2 linked regions of the Saccharomyces cerevisiae S288C genome follow. The gene in region 2 interacts genetically with the main gene of each other region. Each region holds a gene or a part of one and is shown on either strand. Other genes may lie near its edges. The genes, in order: IRC3 and SRL3.

The links.
Region 1: mutations in SRL3 (region 2) and IRC3 together harm fitness more than expected from each alone (negative genetic interaction), as found in Saccharomyces cerevisiae (2 studies listed by BioGRID).

The regions. Positions count from the first base shown.
Region 1 is NC_001136.10:1,127,957-1,135,214, reverse strand, and holds IRC3 (double-stranded DNA-dependent ATPase), read right to left. Parts: upstream 4,215-7,258; coding exon 2,145-4,214; downstream 1-2,144. Other genes in the region: RQC1 (Rqc1p), read left to right, coding at 1-1,955; GPI8 (GPI-anchor transamidase), read right to left, coding at 4,392-5,627; DNA protein crosslink repair co-factor UBX5, read right to left, coding at 5,841-7,258.
Region 2 is NC_001143.9:600,778-612,765, reverse strand, and holds SRL3 (DNA-binding protein SRL3), read right to left. Parts: upstream 1,242-11,988; coding exon 501-1,241; downstream 1-500. Other genes in the region: SRP40 (Srp40p), read left to right, coding at 1-101; PXL1 (Pxl1p), read right to left, coding at 1,700-3,820; TGL4 (triacylglycerol lipase), read left to right, coding at 4,401-7,133; TVP38 (Tvp38p), read left to right, coding at 7,348-8,361; OMA1 (metalloendopeptidase), read left to right, coding at 8,534-9,571; DEAH-box RNA helicase PRP16, read right to left, coding at 9,694-11,988. UniProt on the Saccharomyces cerevisiae protein: Weakly suppresses a RAD53 null mutation when overexpressed.

The sequences.
Region 1 (7,258 bases), on a different chromosome or scaffold from region 2:
CTGGGGAGCGTGATACTCAAAGTAATGGTCAACCTAAAAGAATTACACTAGCATCCAAGTCTTCTAGAAGGAAAAAGAATAAAAAGGCAAAAAGGAAGCAAAAAAACCATACCGCCGAGGCTGCAAAAGACAAGGGTTCCGATGATGATGATGATGATGAAGAATTCGACAAGATTATCCAACAGTTCAAAAAAACTGATATATTGAAGTACGGTAAGACTAAAAATGATGACACTAATGAGGAAGGTTTCTTCACGGCATCTGAACCAGAGGAAGCATCTAGCCAACCTTGGAAGTCATTTTTAAGCTTAGAAAGTGATCCGGGCTTCACAAAGTTCCCCATTTCATGTTTGAGGCATTCTTGCAAATTTTTTCAAAATGATTTCAAGAAATTGGACCCCCATACGGAATTCAAACTTTTATTTGACGATATATCTCCAGAGTCTCTTGAAGATATTGATTCGATGACATCCACACCTGTCTCCCCTCAGCAGCTGAAACAGATTCAGAGACTGAAAAGATTAATTAGAAACTGGGGCGGAAAAGATCATAGATTGGCACCTAATGGCCCCGGAATGCACCCGCAACATTTGAAGTTTACCAAGATCAGAGATGATTGGATCCCAACTCAAAGAGGTGAGCTCTCTATGAAACTTTTAAGTTCTGATGATCTTTTAGATTGGCAATTATGGGAAAGGCCGTTAGATTGGAAGGATGTTATCCAAAACGATGTCAGTCAGTGGCAAAAATTCATTTCTTTTTATAAGTTCGAACCTTTAAATTCCGACCTGAGCAAGAAATCAATGATGGACTTCTACTTAAGTGTTATTGTTCACCCTGATCATGAAGCCCTTATAAATTTGATTTCTTCTAAATTTCCGTATCATGTGCCTGGACTGCTACAAGTTGCTTTGATATTTATTAGGCAAGGTGATAGATCAAACACTAATGGATTGTTACAAAGAGCACTCTTTGTCTTTGATAGAGCTTTGAAAGCAAATATTATTTTCGATTCCTTGAATTGTCAACTACCTTATATATACTTCTTCAACAGACAGTTTTACTTGGCAATATTTAGATACATCCAATCTCTTGCTCAAAGAGGTGTTATAGGAACTGCTAGTGAATGGACAAAAGTTCTCTGGTCACTGAGCCCATTGGAAGATCCTTTAGGATGCAGGTATTTCCTCGATCACTATTTTCTATTGAATAATGACTATCAGTACATTATAGAATTATCCAACTCTCCATTAATGAACTGTTATAAACAGTGGAATACTTTAGGATTTTCCTTGGCGGTAGTACTAAGCTTCCTAAGAATAAATGAGATGAGTTCCGCCCGCAATGCGCTTCTAAAAGCCTTTAAGCATCATCCTTTACAACTGTCAGAACTTTTCAAGGAGAAACTCTTGGGCGATCATGCGCTAACTAAAGATTTATCCATTGATGGCCATTCGGCAGAAAACTTGGAATTAAAGGCATATATGGCCCGCTTCCCGTTACTTTGGAATAGAAACGAAGAGGTAACATTTTTGCATGATGAAATGTCGAGTATTTTACAGGATTACCATAGAGGAAACGTTACAATCGATTCAAATGATGGGCAAGATCACAATAACATTAACAACTTGCAATCACCTTTCTTTATTGCGGGAATCCCAATTAACTTATTAAGATTCGCCATACTATCTGAGGAGTCTTCTGTAATGGCTGCAATTCCATCATTTATCTGGTCTGATAATGAAGTATATGAGTTTGACGTATTACCACCAATGCCTACGTCAAAAGAATCAATCGAAGTGGTTGAAAACATCAAAACCTTTATTAATGAAAAGGATTTAGCTGTCCTTCAGGCAGAAAGAATGCAAGATGAGGACCTGTTGAATCAAATTAGACAAATATCTTTGCAACAGTACATTCATGAAAATGAAGAGTCAAATGAAAATGAGGGTTAATAAGAAATGTTGCAGCTCATTTTCTAGTACGCAGAGTAAGGCTAAAGCACTTATTTGAATTTAACGTTATTCATTGCATAGTTCAGAAAGGGTGTGATCCAAAAGAAAATGCATATACGAGTGGTCCGACGTTTACATATGTACTAGTGACTGTATATTAATATATGCACATTTATGTAGCTACGGATTTCACTTTATAAAAGATCTTCTTTTTTGATATTCTAATATTCGTAACAATGATTTCAACGGGTAGACAGGTGCCAAACTGCTGGCAAAGATTAAGTTGGAAGCATCTCCTTTCGTCATCTTAGTATTTACATAAGTAGTAACATCATCCAAAGATAATCTAATAAAATCTTTTGAGGACTCACCATATACTTTCTTTAGCTTTCTGAAAACAAAGTCTCTTTGTTTTGACGTAGGAACTGTTTGTCTCCATTTCGAGTATTTACTAGATATTGCCTGGTATTGCATTGTTTGTCCTTCCAAGTCCGAATTTAGAGTATTTATGATTTTTTCCACCTTTGACATTACATTCCAAAGATTAGCGTCTTTTATTATACTTTTTGGAACATAGTCCGCGTATTTATTTGTTATAAAACACGGTAATTGTCGATACATTTTTAGATGATATACCATCGACAATTTGTCTTCGGATTTTTCTTTGTATATTCTCAAATGATTCTTACCTTTTAAAGGGAGGCCCCACGCATTTGAGGCAAATTTCACCCACGGATATTGTGAGTTCATCAACAGCTCCATTTCTTTTACAGCTTCAGAAGCTTCATCAAACTCCTTGCCAGATGGATATGAGTTATTGCTCTGTGTAAAATTCCTAAAACTATCAAAGGAGCACAAGGTTAAATCAACCGAATTTGCACTGTGAATCCAATCGGCAACGCTATTTCTTTCAGTTACATTTTCCATTGCTGCTTCATCAGTCTGAAATAAAGCCCTTAACCTTTCGTCGATTTTTTGTTGTTTAGCTATTATCTCTCCTTGGATTGCTTTTAAATCTTCAACTGTAGCATCATCAAATTCGATATCATCACTCCTTATACCCAGTAGAGTGGGCGCTGAAACCACTCCAACACTAGAAGCTCCAATGAAGTCGATGATATGACAGTGGTCTTTCGAATGGTGTAACCGTAAACCTCTTCCAATCATTTGAATCAAAAGTGAACGCGATTTTGTGGGCCTACACAGTAGTATACAATCAATATTTGGCATGTCCGTTCCTTCTGTGAATATTCCACAGTTCATGAGTACTTCAGTTTCCCCATTTTTGAATTTTTGAATTATATTATCTCGTTCTATCTGTTTTGTATCCGAGGTGACATAGTCCGTATTAATACCGTTGTCTTTAAATAATTTATGCAAACTTTGTACATGGGCTTTATCAACGCCAAACAGTAATGTTGATTTTAGTGATTTCTCTTGCTTTTTATGAAGGTAAGTTTTCAGAATTACTTCATTAATTTCTTTCGTATTCATTAGAGACGATAACGGTGCCAGCTGGAAGTCATCTGCAGTGCTTTTTACATCTGATAAGTCTGCTTCAATTTTGACTGACGTGAATTTTGCCTCACATAGCCACTTGTCATCGATCATTTCCAGTATTCCCCGGTGGTACACAATTTTATCCATTACCATTGACAAAGCTCTTTTATCTGCTCTTTCGAAAGTCGCACTAAAGCCAATAACAGGGATTTTGGTTTCTGCAGTTGAAGCTTTGAAATGATCTAAGATACTTCTATAAGAATTAGCCACAGAATGATGTGCTTCATCAATGATGATGAGATTCACTGAATTAGTATCATATTTATGGAGTCTTCTAATCAACGTCTGAACAGATGCAACAATCACGTCAGAATCTTCAATATCGCAATCATATTTTCCCATTTCTATGTGAACCTTTAAGTCGGGGAATATTTTTTTAAGAGTGGCCGTCGCTTGTAAGGCCAGCTCCCTCCTGTGAACCAGGATCAACGATTTAAAATTTCCTTGACGTTCTTTAAAATAGTTTTGGCGCAATTGATTGATAAGATTTGAGAATATCACTGTCTTACCACCACCAGTGGCTAATGATACACCAATTCTCTTGGTGCCCTGTCGAATAGAATTCACACATGCATCTATAGCATCTTGTTGGTAATCTCTGAGTACGGGAGCTGAGTAACAACGTTTTATAATTTTGATGCGCTGCAGTATTAATGAAATAGAATATGTCGAGAGTCTAGTGGCTAGTGTTGAGGTCATATTTTATTATACTCATGGCTCCAATAGGCTTCTTCCGTTATGTGAAATAAAACTCTATAGTTTGACATTATGAAAAAGTTGTATATGTAATCTATTCTACCAAAATAAAAAAAAAAAAAATAAATATATATAAAGATGTAAAATATGCTTATACGAAAAAAAATGGATAAAAGTGTTTTAATTAGTGTACAGGTCATAGGTTGCTTTAGCAGTGTTTCCTCTCAGCATGAACCACAGAATAGTTACTATAAGCGCCAGTATTATGGTAGCTGATTGTTTGAAGGAGGTGAAGAAACATTCGTTGGAATCTATATCAACATCCAATACACTAGTAGACTTGATGTCTTTGATTTTTTTTTCAATCTTGGAGGATTGATTGTTTTTGCGGTAAGTCTCCAAGGCCAAATCCAGCACATTATTGTTAAGCTCATACTGAGCAGTATCGATATGATCTTTGTAATGATGATAATGACTTACGGAAAGAGGTTTTGAATCATCAGGAATTACGTTTTGCACATTCGCAAAAAAATCAGTAATCAATACTTCTGACGGATTCCTATCAAACAGATCAGTCCTGACACCCACATGAGAGTGAATCTTTTCGAAGGTGAATGAATCGAAGAGGTCCTGCAAAGTTAACGTGGAATTTTTATCGATTTGTTCTAGGAAATCCAAACAGTAATAGGTGAATCTATCAATAACAGCAACCCCTATTTCTACGTCCGAGTGATGCGAGTACGAGCTTTCATCCATTTCACTAGAGCCTACAGCCAGAATATTTGGAGAATAAAACTTGGAATACATTGTGTTTGCCTGACATGTATCTATCATAAAGAAGATTTCATTGTATCTTTTCTTTTCGTACATTTGCTGGAATGCATCTGCAATATCTTCAGAAGCAATCTCTTCAGCATCTTGGAACTTTAAAAAATCATCGCCACCATGTCCTGTCATATAGATGAATATATTTGAATTTTCATCCGTCAACAACCGTTTAGATTTAGGATGGTCTTCTGTCCATCTATCCGTTAACAGCCTTATAAAGTTTTCCACGGTAACTTCGTAACCTCTGTAGTCAACCTCTACAGAGTCTCCGTAAAGGTCAATAGCGTGATCCTTATTGTTAAAAACACTTCCAGGAAATAGATTCCTTGAATTGCAGGCCACATCATCACTCAGCATCAATATTATTTGTGAATCCGGTATACCTAACCTCTTTACAGTCCTATACATACTAAGGACATTAGCCATGTGCCTGTAATTGAACCAGAACCGCGACGTGGATACTAATACGGCCCAATTATTTGTGTTCGTTGCTATAACTTCGTGTGCAGCATCTGTGTTATTTGCACCTGAAAGGGGTAGTAAGAATATGTATAAAAGCAACAGCGGCAGATGCATCGCTATACGCATTTTGTTCGGCTTTTGCAATTTGCTATGCTTAAATGTGATATATATTTTGTATTTACACCTATGAACTATTCCTTTACGTCTTTGTATGCGTTTTTTCTTATGTTTGGCGTGCTAATGGGAAAAAAATAAAAATACAATATCCGGGTATTTCCGTCGTGTTATAAGTGCTTACATACCTAATTACATCTAGGTACCTGCCACCATACAATTTGTTTATTCTATTTCAGGGTCAAGCTTCTCAAGTAGTAAAGAACTATTTTTTAAGCCGGCGTCCGCTATGGTCATGTTTAATTTATCAATCAAGTCCTCTCTTTGGTGATCATTTAGTGTGAATCTTGAATCGGCAAAACCATCCATTTCTGTCTTGATAACCTCGTAAATAGTACGCACAGTGTCTTCCAGAGCATTGAATCTACGAACTAGTCTGGAGCCATCACCGGTACGAATTTGAATTCTTGTAGTGATCCCTGGTTTATTTGGCGGTTCTGGATGCACCCTGGCTTCAATGGTACTGAATGGATCCGGTTCTTGTACTCGTTTCTGTTCTTCGCCAGTACTCGGCACTTCTTCTTGGTTTGATTTGCTCGAGTTATTATTTAATGACTCTTTAATGGCTAATTCCATTTGTTGCTCTTCGGTCAAAGTTGTTGGATCCACTTTAGGAAGAGGTTCATTAACCGTGGGATTAGGGACCTTTGGATCTAGCGAAAATGAGGCCAAAAACTCGTTGATTTCTGAGATGAATTGCTCTGGAATGGGAACAACCCTATTCCATTGCTTGACACGTTCACCGGTAATTGGATCCAGTATCGCGATATGGGGCAAATCATCCTTATTATTCAAGTGATAGAACTGAAGATAGGGTTGGGCATTACGTGATTCATATTGATACTGTAGGAAAACGAAGTTCTCTTTGATTATAGTTTTTACCGGTCTGGACGACCACAAATCCCTGTTGAGGGCTTGGCATTGGAAGATTCCTGAATCCTGAATGTTAATCATTATCCATTTTTGCTTTGCCCTTGCCTTTTGCTTTGCAGCGTCTAAGTCGAGTTTGGACATGATTGAAAATGGAGGCCTAAATAACAAAGCTAATTTCTGCTCCTTGGAAATGGTTTTAGGCTTTCTCACTAATTTGGTGTACTCCTTGATATTGCCGTCTTCATCAAGTTCGATGACCGGCTCTTCCACATACTCATATTCGTCGTCGTCATTTTCTTCCTCGGAGTCCAAGGAATCTGAAGAGTTGTCATTGATGTATGTATTAGTATTTGTGTCATCCAATCGTTGATTAAAAATGCTTTCAGGTCTTCCTTCGTCAAACATGTCGTTCACCCTATGCAATGGTTCAAATCTTCCGCCAATGCCGCCGTAAGAAATTGGGAATCCTGAAGTTTCAGTAAGTACTTCATGTCTTGCCTCATCAGGTGGCCTGACATAATCTTGGTCAGGCTGTTGTTGTTGGTAAGCTTCCCTTTGCAACCTCTCCGCTAATTGTGCATCGGCATCTGAATCTACAGAGGTGGGCGCCATAGGAGTCGAATTAGACGGAGTAGGTGTGTTGTTACTGCTCAGTAAAGCAGCCCCACCATTTTCGAAAAACAATGATATGGCTGTGTTCAAGTTCCCGT
Region 2 (11,988 bases):
GAGGTAAAGATTTCACGAAGAACAAAAATAAAATGAAGAGAGGTTCTTACAGAGGTGGATCCATTACATTAGAAAGTGGTTCATACAAATTCCAAGATTAAAAGAATAGGAAACATAAAACAAAACTCGTTGTCTGGAGTAATCTCCTTTTAAGTTGTAGAGTAAACAAATTGTAATTATAGCAACGATAGAAAAATAATAGTAATAAAGACAATAATAATAGTAACAAAAATGGTAACAGTAATATTTTGTATTGTTTTCCTTTGAAAAAAGAAAAAATAAATAACCTGGTATATAGGTAATCGCGTCACTAAATAATTAAGCATTCAATAAAAGTTTTTTTTAATTATTTTTTTTTTTATGTTTTTGGCTCCTAGAGGTGAATATTTTCTTTTTCTTTCTTCGCAGCTATATACTAAATATTAGTGATATAAACAGCAAGAACTATAAACCTAAAAGTAGCCAAAGCCATGTATATATGCGAAACCCGAATCATTAGTTCAGTCCGATGAGGACATCTTCAATAATGTATCGATAGCAACAACTTCTTGTAAAGAATTCTCCTGTGTACTTTGCGTTCTTCTATGAGATGACCAACGTAACGGCGAAACGTTAACGTTGTCTACCCTATTGCTTTTGGCATGTTTGGACGAAATTGCCTTCAAGAACGCTGCATGAGCGGATGAATCTTCCAGAGAACTCAGAAACTTTTTGGATTCATCTAACGAGTGACAGCGCCTATGCTTAGCGGCAAATTTATTACTATAAGAGCCCTTTCGTATCTTTTCCGTCGGAGGTGGAGGAATCAAAGCTACTTGCTCATGTTCCTTTGATAGCTTAACCATTGCGCAGTTGAGTCTTGATTTTAGCGTGCGTGAAAACTCCCGTACGGAATCGTCATTCTCTTCCTCGATAACCGCTGTGGGAGAAACCAATGGGGGCGTGGGGGATGGAAACATTTCTGCATTCTTAGACCTGGGTGTTGTAGGTGTTATTGGTCCTGGAAAATGAAATTGTACGTTGTATTGATATGTGGGATCCTCATTGCCATCGGGCGAAGGGGCAGATGTAGGAGAATCTTGCGCTTCACTTATTGAAGTTTTGAAATATTTCCTTGCCGGCGTCGCCAGAAGGCTGTTAGATTCAGTATCCAGGTTGGGAGAGATCAATTCGTTTATCGTTAAGACTCTCGATTTGGGAGTCTCATTTACCGTTTCCCAATTAGGTGTCTTAAGAAACATTATATTCGTCTATTATTTATCCGTTTGTGCTCAGGTTCTTCTTCCATCCTCTTGAAAATACAATAAAATAACGAAACATTTCATTGCTTAGCCTTTCCTTAAATAAATTTCCTTATTCTCTATTCTTAGGCTCCTGTTCCCTTTTTAGCTTTTAGCCTTTAATGCACCGGTACGAGAATGTCCAAAAATAGAAATTCGCTACAATTAAATGACGCGTAAAAAAACAGTTAGAGGTAGTTGTTGAGAAGAAGACAACGTAGTGAATATGAGTGAATGATGTCTTTATAACTAACTAACTAATGACGACTAATGTTGTTGATACCATAGATAGGCAGATGCCTTTTTCCTGCGCTATACAATTTATAAATGAACAAGGCTGGCTAATAATATAAAAAATCAAAATCTTATTAAGAATGTTATGAAACATGTGTGCTAGGAAAGACAAATGGGTAGTGATGCTAGTTGAAGTTGATGAGCCTCGTTCTCCTTTTAGAGAGAGTATTGTTCTTATCATTGCTTGATGTAGCATTGTCGATACCTTCCTTCAAGAGAGCTTCCATGTCGTGATTACCGCACAATGGAATTTCCCCATTGAATATATAATAATCATTAGTAATGGCAGTCTTGCATAAGAAACAGTTTAGACAATCCACGTGGAATCGTTCCACCTTATCATTTTCCAGACATTCACCCTCTATGAAATTTGAACAAACCTTACAAATACTGTGATTCTCCTCGTGATAGTGCTTTTGACAATATGGTTCATCGCCTAGAATATAACAGGGAACATGTTTATTGAATTTGATACCACATTCAATGCATTTAAAACATTCACGATGCCATTGACCCGACAGTTCGTTTTCCTTTTTGGAAAACATTCTTTTCCCTGTGACTTCCAAGCCGCATGCTCTGCAAGGTCCCTCCCCAGGCGGATATTTAAACTCAATGGGCTCCGTTTCTTTATAATCTGCATCAGAGCTGTATCTCGTAGTGCCGCCGTTAGGTAATACATGAGAGTCATTAGATTTGGAATTATCAATTTCTTCTCTCAGATCTGTTATGTTGCGCTTATGCTGCAGTTGTAGTGCTTCAATTGTGGGAAGTTTCGTTCTGAAAGTTTCTTGCGAACCCATCCCTTCATTATTGGAGTATTCTACGTTCGACTGTTTAAACTTGTAAAAAATGGGTGTGCCACCATTAGTTGTAGATTCAGATGGCGCGTCTTCATCGACATCGCCTTTATCTACCAGAATAGTTTGTCTGGATAAGTTCGTATTGCTGTTTTGCACAATTGATGTTTGCTGCGTTACGGGTATATCCATGCTGGGATACCCAGATAAATATGCGCTTGACTTTTTGAATCTAGAAGCCTTTCTGTCCACTGCGTTGAGGCAATTGCCGTTCATATCGAGCTTTGCATTTCTAGATAGGGAAACATCGTCTAATTGAGCAATCAATTGTTCGACTTGGAGGTTCGTAGCAGTGTATGGTGTTTCCACGTTTTCTGAAGAAGTTATTGAAAGACGTTTCTCATTTAACCCATCAAGACTTAAATCTTCAACTTTTGTTGACGATGATGACACACCAGGTGATTTCTGTTCCTTTGAAGATTCCAGGCCAGAAAAGTTATCATCAGGATATATTTTAGAGTCTAGTGCGTTCATGGTTAAAGATGGTGTATTACTTTCCCTCGTAACATTAATTTCCGGAATTTTAGGTTCTGTATTCTTTTCCTCTTGTTTTGCTTCTGGAAAATCATCTTGAAGTGGTTCATTTTCAAGATTCATCTGTAGTTTAGGATCTGGTTCAAAATTTAGGCTTTCAATATCATTCTCATCCTCCTGCTGTCCTTCACTTTCATATTCGATTGAACTTTCCTCTTTTTGCTGTTCTTTTCCGAGTTTTTGGTCGAGCACACCTCTGTTATCGGTTTGGTTCATAGAATTTACAACGCTTGCAGTGTCATTTTGAGTCAGCATCATGAAACTTCTTTCAATAGGGCTCAAATCTTGTTCCCTTTCAGTATTACCAGCATCTTCTTGTTCGAAGTTGAAGGGGAAGTTATCTGCGGCTTGGAATTCCTTGTTAGCAGGTGATTTACATGTATGCCTAGAGGCAGCATATTGTTCCGCCTGACGGTCTAAGTCGCGTTCAAAACGGAAGGGATCCTCTTGCGAAGCACGCTCGCTGGGCCTGGAAATAGAACGAGATATGTCACTGGGTCTCGAAGACGTAAAATTGCTATTCTTTGGAGGAGTTACACTCCGCCTCTCGCTATTCTCCAATACGGGAGGCGGATAAATGTCAGACTCGCCCTTTACAGATGAATAAGCACTCTTTGAAGACGCCGTATACGCACTCTTCATCGTGACCGGAACAGATGGGGCGGCAGATACATTTCTTTGACGGGTTATTGGCGGCGACTTCACGGAAGCTTGTAAACTTCCAGTGGAAGCATTCCTCTGACTACTGAACGGATTACGCGGCTTAGTGTCAAACCCTGCTCTTTCTAGAGCAGTTTTGTAGCGGACCTTCGGATTTATTTTAGGGAAGGGGGACCCGTAGATTGAGTTATACATTGACTTGAGCGTTTCTTTTGCTAAATTTATTCTTGTTTTTCCCCTTACGTTATTCACTATAAGCTTTGAAGAAGCTTGAAAAAAATTCGGCTATAATATCCTATTCTAGCTGTATAAATTAAATATTCAACACAGCAGAAATATATTTTAAGGCTACCTCTTAAATTTGCAACACTCCAGCTTTTCTATTATTATTATTTACTTATTTTTTCATGTTTCCTATTATTCATGGAATTGAAAAAGGACGCGAATTGAAAATTTCGAAAGAAATAGGGCTAGGCGCTTCAAAAAGTCATTAGGTTTACTTACCAATATTAGTAGGTTAAATATTAGAAAAAAGGAAAAAAGATCTTAAGGGGTTTAAAAAAAGTAGGGTAAACTAGGGCTGACATATTACCCCTCTTATACGATAATTGCGACTATGAAACGCTAAACCACAATTATAAAGTATGGTTGATTCAAATTGTCATTATGTCATTATTGTACTCGTAAAAGAGGCCTGTATTCAAGTATTTGATCAAAAAAATTAGCGCTGTAATAATTATTGAAGGGAGTACAGGTATATGTAATAAAAGTCTGAATGAGCAGCAAAATATCAGATCTTACATCTACACAAAATAAGCCCCTCCTTGTTACGCAACAACTAATCGAAAAATATTACGAACAGATCCTGGGCACTTCCCAGAACATAATTCCTATTTTAAATCCGAAGAACAAGTTTATTAGGCCCAGTAAGGATAATTCAGATGTTGAAAGGGTGGAGGAGGATGCTGGTAAAAGACTGCAAACTGGCAAGAACAAAACTACGAACAAAGTAAATTTCAACCTGGATACTGGAAACGAGGATAAACTTGACGATGACCAAGAGACAGTAACAGAAAATGAAAATAATGATATCGAGATGGTTGAGACAGACGAAGGCGAAGATGAAAGGCAAGGGTCATCTTTAGCCAGTAAATGCAAATCATTTCTTTACAACGTTTTTGTGGGAAACTATGAAAGAGACATTCTTATTGACAAAGTCTGTTCACAAAAGCAACATGCGATGTCATTTGAAGAATGGTGTTCTGCGGGCGCCAGATTGGATGACCTCACTGGGAAAACAGAATGGAAGCAGAAATTGGAAAGTCCCTTGTATGATTACAAGCTAATAAAAGATTTAACATCTAGAATGCGTGAGGAGCGCTTGAATAGGAATTACGCTCAATTGTTGTACATCATTAGGACGAATTGGGTACGAAACCTGGGAAATATGGGGAATGTAAACCTATATAGGCACTCCCATGTAGGCACCAAATATTTAATTGACGAGTATATGATGGAGTCTAGGTTAGCGCTAGAATCTTTAATGGAGTCTGATCTTGATGATAGTTACCTTTTGGGTATACTGCAACAAACGAGAAGAAATATTGGTCGTACCGCTTTAGTTCTCAGTGGGGGTGGAACTTTTGGTCTTTTCCACATCGGTGTCCTTGGTACTCTATTTGAATTGGATTTATTACCCAGAGTGATTAGTGGTAGCAGTGCTGGTGCAATTGTAGCAAGCATATTATCTGTCCATCACAAAGAAGAAATTCCGGTTTTACTAAATCATATTTTGGATAAAGAATTCAACATTTTCAAAGACGATAAACAGAAAAGTGAAAGCGAGAATTTGTTAATAAAAATATCTAGGTTCTTCAAAAACGGTACGTGGTTTGATAACAAGCATCTGGTAAATACAATGATAGAATTTTTGGGAGATTTGACATTTAGGGAAGCTTACAATAGAACGGGTAAAATTTTGAATATAACCGTTTCGCCGGCATCTTTATTTGAACAACCGCGCTTGCTGAATAATTTGACTGCACCAAACGTCCTGATTTGGTCCGCCGTATGTGCATCATGTTCACTACCGGGAATTTTCCCCTCGAGCCCACTTTACGAAAAAGATCCAAAAACGGGAGAAAGGAAACCATGGACTGGTAGTAGTTCGGTCAAATTTGTCGATGGTTCTGTGGACAATGACTTGCCCATTTCTCGTCTTTCTGAAATGTTTAATGTAGACCATATTATCGCATGCCAGGTGAATATTCACGTATTTCCCTTTTTGAAACTATCACTATCCTGTGTTGGCGGGGAAATTGAGGACGAATTTAGTGCAAGATTAAAGCAAAACTTATCAAGTATATACAATTTTATGGCCAATGAAGCTATTCATATTCTAGAAATTGGAAGTGAGATGGGAATTGCCAAAAACGCGCTTACAAAACTGAGATCGGTATTATCTCAACAATATTCTGGTGACATCACTATTTTGCCCGACATGTGTATGCTTTTTAGAATAAAGGAGCTGTTGTCAAACCCAACAAAAGAATTTTTATTAAGGGAAATCACCAATGGTGCAAAAGCTACGTGGCCCAAGGTTTCCATTATTCAAAATCACTGTGGCCAGGAATTTGCTCTGGATAAGGCGATTTCTTATATCAAAGGTAGGATGATTGTCACCTCCTCTTTAAAAACCCCCTTCCAATTTGCTGATTCAGTCATTGGATTAATTAAAGCTCCAGAGCAAACGTCAGATGAGTCCAAAAACCCAGAAAATTCAACATTGCTAACTAGGACTCCAACCAAGGGTGACAATCATATTTCCAATGTTTTAGATGACAACTTATTAGAATCAGAATCGACAAACTCTTTGCTATTGTTACGTGAGAATGCAAGCACATATGGGCGGTCACCTTCCGGGTTTAGACCGCGGTATTCCATTACGTCCGCTTCTCTCAATCCGCGTCACCAAAGAAGGAAATCAGATACTATTTCAACTTCAAGGCGACCAGCCAAATCCTTTTCATTTTCAGTTGCTTCTCCCACATCAAGGATGTTGAGGCAATCCAGCAAAATCAATGGACACCCACCGCCAATTCTGCAGAAAAAAACAAGTATGGGCCGGCTAATGTTTCCTATGGATGCCAAGACCTATGACCCGGAAAGCCATGAACTTATCCCACATTCTGCCAGCATTGAAACACCTGCCATGGTAGACAAGAAATTGCATTTTGGCCGAAAGAGTAGATACTTGAGGCATATGAACAAAAAATGGGTCAGCAGTAGCAACATATTATACACAGATTCGGATAAAGAAGACCATCCTACATTGAGACTGATAAGTAACTTCGATTCAGACGCAATGATTCATAGTGATTTAGCGGGCAATTTCAGGCGTCATAGCATTGATGGAAGACCCCCTTCTCAAGCTACAAAGAGCTCACCGTTTCGATCGAGGCCTTCTTCTTCAACGCAGCACAAAAGCACCACCAGTTTTACTCAATAAGAAAACACGGGCTTGCTTATATATCCTCTAGATATTCTTTTTCATCTATGTATTTATTCGAATGGCCTTTCTCATTCATATCATTTTCAAAGCGGAAATCGAAATCATTGTTTTCTCTCGAGCTGCACTAAGAAAAAAAGCCACTTTACTAAAACAATACCTTCAACATATTTGAAAATATTATTATGGTGGAAGAAAGATATTGGTTACACAAATGAGTCAGTCTTACGAAGCAGGAAATGCCAATATGGGCCAAGGGGAGGATGATGAATTTGATGGCTATTTCGAAGACTTTGACAACGATATCATGCCAAATAGTAATAATGGACAAAGGGTTGGTACTAATGCTGGATTGTCATTCAATGACGAAGTAAATGTTAATGATGATGATTTTTTAGACATTTATAATATGTCCCCTAGAGAGAGATTGATGCATAATATCAGGAAGAATGTTCAAAAATTACAGTTTTATTTTTATTCACTACGCTTATGGCAACAGATTATCATTGTCCTCCTCGGCATAATGCTAATGATAATGGGTATATTGTTGCTCGTCTTCCATAATGCGATTTTACATAAAGTTGTTGTTACTTCGAACGATTTGAGAGAAAAGATGTCAACACATTTTATATTAATGGTTCTGATATTCTTTGTCGCATTTCCTCCTATGATTGGCTACTCCTTATTATCCACCACTACTGGGTTGATCTATGGTGTCAGTTTTGAGGGATGGGTTACGCTAGCTTTGGGATCTGTAACAGGTTCCATTGCCTCTTTCGTTGTGTTCAAGACGATCTTGCATTCAAGAGCAGAAAAGCTTGTGCATTTGAATAGAAGATTTGAAGCATTGGCTTCAATTTTACAAGAAAACAATAGCTATTGGATTCTAGCTCTACTGAGATTATGTCCCTTCCCATATTCTTTGACTAATGGTGCCATAGCTGGTGTTTACGGTATCTCGGTACGCAACTTTTCCATTGCCAACATAATAACCACACCAAAGCTGTTCATCTATCTATTTATAGGTTCTCGTGTAAAGAGTCTCGCAGAATCTGAATCTACAGGATCTAGGGTATTTGACTTGGTAAGCATTATTATCACATTATTAATCCTAAGTCTTACAGCATGGCTCTTATACTTCAAGACTAAGAAGAGATATTTAGAACTACAAAACCGCGACCGTCAAGTGTCCACTGATCAACTACCTGAATTGTCTTTTGAGGTCTAATCCTCCGTATACGTTTATATATGTTTAGATAAGTTGGTTTTATATGGGTAACCCAAATTACTATTTCTACTTCTTTCTACGTCCGATATAAAGAACTTAAAAGACAAAAAGCAGTTTTTCGAAGCGACATCAACCAATCTAAGTTAAGGTATGGAAAGATAAAATACAAGAAATGTTACGCAACATCATCAGGTTCAAAGGATTTGGAAAAGGGACCAGTGGAGGATTTTTAAAACCTGTATCATTTCGTGTTCAGTTAACGCGATGTTACCGCTATGACAATGGTCCTTCATATCGTCGATTTAATAATGGAGAGTATTCCCAAAAATCATCGTTTAAAAGCATTCTTCTCGATAAGTCATCAAGAAAATACTTAGCTTTATTATTTGGTGGATGCTCTCTCTTTTATTATACACATTTGGATAAAGCACCGGTAAGCGATAGGTCCAGGTTCATCTGGGTATCGCGTCCATTAGAGTTAACTATCGGAAATTACACATACAAATCAATTTGGAGACAAACGCAGCAGGAAATATTACCTCCACAGCATCCGCTGTCCATCAAAATTGAGAATATTTTCATGAAAATTGTCGAAGCTGCTTATAAGGACCCTAGTGTAGACAACTCACTACTGGACGGAATCAAGTGGGAAATTCATGTGGTCAATGATCCAACTGCTTCACCAAATGCATTCGTTTTACCAGGGGGTAAGGTCTTTATATTCAGCTCTATTTTACCTATTTGTGCTAATGATGATGGGATTGCCACTGTTTTAGCACACGAATTTGCTCATCAGCTAGCAAGACACACAGCCGAAAATTTGTCGAAGGCTCCTATATATTCTCTTTTGGGTTTGGTGTTATATACTGTTACTGGAGCTCATGCTATCAACAATATACTATTGGATGGGTTTTTGCGAATGCCAGCATCAAGACAGATGGAAACCGAAGCTGATTACATTGGCCTGATGATAATGTCAAGGGCATGTTTTCAACCACAGGAGTCAATAAAAGTGTGGGAAAGAATGGCAAATTTTGAAAAGCAAATGAATAGAGGGGGTGTTGTGAATATGGAGTTTCTAAGTACACATCCAGCAAGCACTCGTAGAATAGAGAATATGTCGAAATGGTTGCCAAAAGCTAATGAAATTTATGAACAATCTGATTGTAGCAGTATGGGTAACTATTATAAAAGTTTTTTCTCAATGTAAGCACTCCACGAGTTATGCTCTTTTCTTTTGTACCCAATAAATAACCCTTTGTTTTATGCATGCATATAACTATATAATAACATATATGAATATTTTGCCTATTAGCACGCTCTTCCCATAAACTAAAAAAAAGGCTTCCTTCTTTTGAAAGGTTTCATTGAATTTTCTTTGCCGTTCAGTATATTTTGCTTTTTCGTTTTTTGCTTTTTGTCTTCTTTGTTTGAATTGTCGGTCATTTTGAGCTCCTGTATCACACTGTCTCTCATATCCTTACATCTCCTAATATTGATATCAATATCATCTTCAACCTTGTCCAGAGTATGTTCATAGTGTTCACCAAAGAGGCCTGTAGTTGTGGCCTCCTGATCATTTTTAATACGCTTGATGTCGTAGAGTAACCCACCATATTCCATTAACCAGAATGGATCTACAGAAGTAACACAACAAATGTATTCTTTGCTAGTCATTAATAATTCATGATATACCACGTAAGGGGGTAAATCCCCCAATCCGTGTAATGCACTTGTAGGGTGTAGTTGAACACTTACGCCAGTTTTTAAATGAACGTAATTTCGTAGTCCTGTTATTTTGGCTGCTTGATGAGCAAATCCTGAACAAATACATTTTTTAATAATATCCCAGTCCTTACCGGAGGAAATGACCGGAATTTTTTGAGATTTTAGTATTGTTAGCAACTGGTCTCGAATGTCTCTTGCCCTGACAAGTGATTTGTATTGAACAAAATGTTTGTTACACCAATGCGAACTAAAATTATTTGCCCTCCATTGTTCAAAAACATTAAGTAACGTTAAGTGATCTGATTTCGCGATAAAAAATTTATTTCTAGCAATATCTGCTTCTTTCTGTCTTTCCTTGGGTCTATAAAAGACTTGTGGAACAGAAAGCATGGAAACTATTGTTAACATTTCATCACTGCAGCCGTTTCTAACTGCAATTAATAAAATTTTGGAAAGGGAAGGTTGCAGGGGAAATTTTGCCATCTGTAATCCCAATGGAGTCAATTGTCCACTAGTGTCTATAGCCCCTATGAACCATAACTCATACAATGAGGATAAAAATGTTTGTAAGGGTGGTTTATCAATGAACGGGAACTTACTCAATTCGTCAGTAACGTCCAGAGATTTTAGCAGTAAAAGGGTGTTTGACAAATTCGTTCTTTGGATCTCAGGTATTGTCTGTAAGTACATATCTTCTTTGAATGTATCTTCCGTGTATAATCGATATGCAGTGCCTGGCGCAGTTCTTCCCGCTCTTCCGGATCTTTGGTCGGCGTTAGCTTTTGATATGGGCGTTATTACTAAACTATCAAGCCCAATCTTTGGATTGTAAACTTTCAGTTTAGAGTAACCACAATCAATGACATATCTAATACCTTTAATGGTCAATGAAGTCTCTGCAATATTTGTCGCAATTATAATTTTCCTTTTAGTGCCATGTAGATCCTGAAAAATTTTGAATTGCAAATCTGCAGGTAAAGCCGAGTAGATTGGTAAAATTTCAATATCATTGATCTCTTCAAAGTTTGCGGTACCAAACTTTTTAGAATATACTTGCAAAAACTTTTCTTGCAGAGTGTCGAACGTTGTTTCAATATCTTCTTGACCTGTCATGAAAATGAGAATATCACCGCTTGAACAATCGTTTGCTAAATGAATTTTCACAGCCTGAGAAACTGCAGCTTCTACGTAGTCTTGAACAGGGTTGGAAGTATATATGGTCTGTACGGGGAAAGTTCTTCCAGGAATTGTGAACTGAGGAGCATTACCAAAAAATGCGGAGAACTTCTTCGCATTCATTGTTGCTGAAGTGATTATGAGTTTTAGATCTCTTCTACGTGCTAATAAAATCTTGAAAAAACCTAGTAAAATGTCTGTATTTAATGACCTTTCATGAGCTTCATCAATAATAACACACGAATATTTATCGAGTGTATCATCCAATAAGGTCTCTCTGAGTAGAATACCATCCGTTACAAACTTAAGTTTTGTACACTCAGAATCCGTCACATCTTCAAACCTTATAGAATAGCCTACTTCCTTACCCAATGGAACTTGCATTTCCATTGCAACCCTTTTTGCAACGGATATGGCTGCTACTCTTCTCGGCTGTGTGACAACAATAGATTTCCCCCTATCGTTGGCATATCCTTCTTCATATAAATACTGTGCAAGTTGCGTGGTTTTACCTGAGCCCGTTTCACCAATTATCACCACTACTTGATTTTCTCTTATCAATGATAACAATTGAGATCTGCAGCGGAAAACAGGCAGTTGCTCTTTAGTATGTTTAATGTCATCTTTTGATGGCGTGAAAAGAGCTGTATCGTCGCAAATCTTTTGGTTGCTCTTATCTTTTGCTTTATTGTTATTCTCCAAGCCTAGTACTTCCCCCATGGC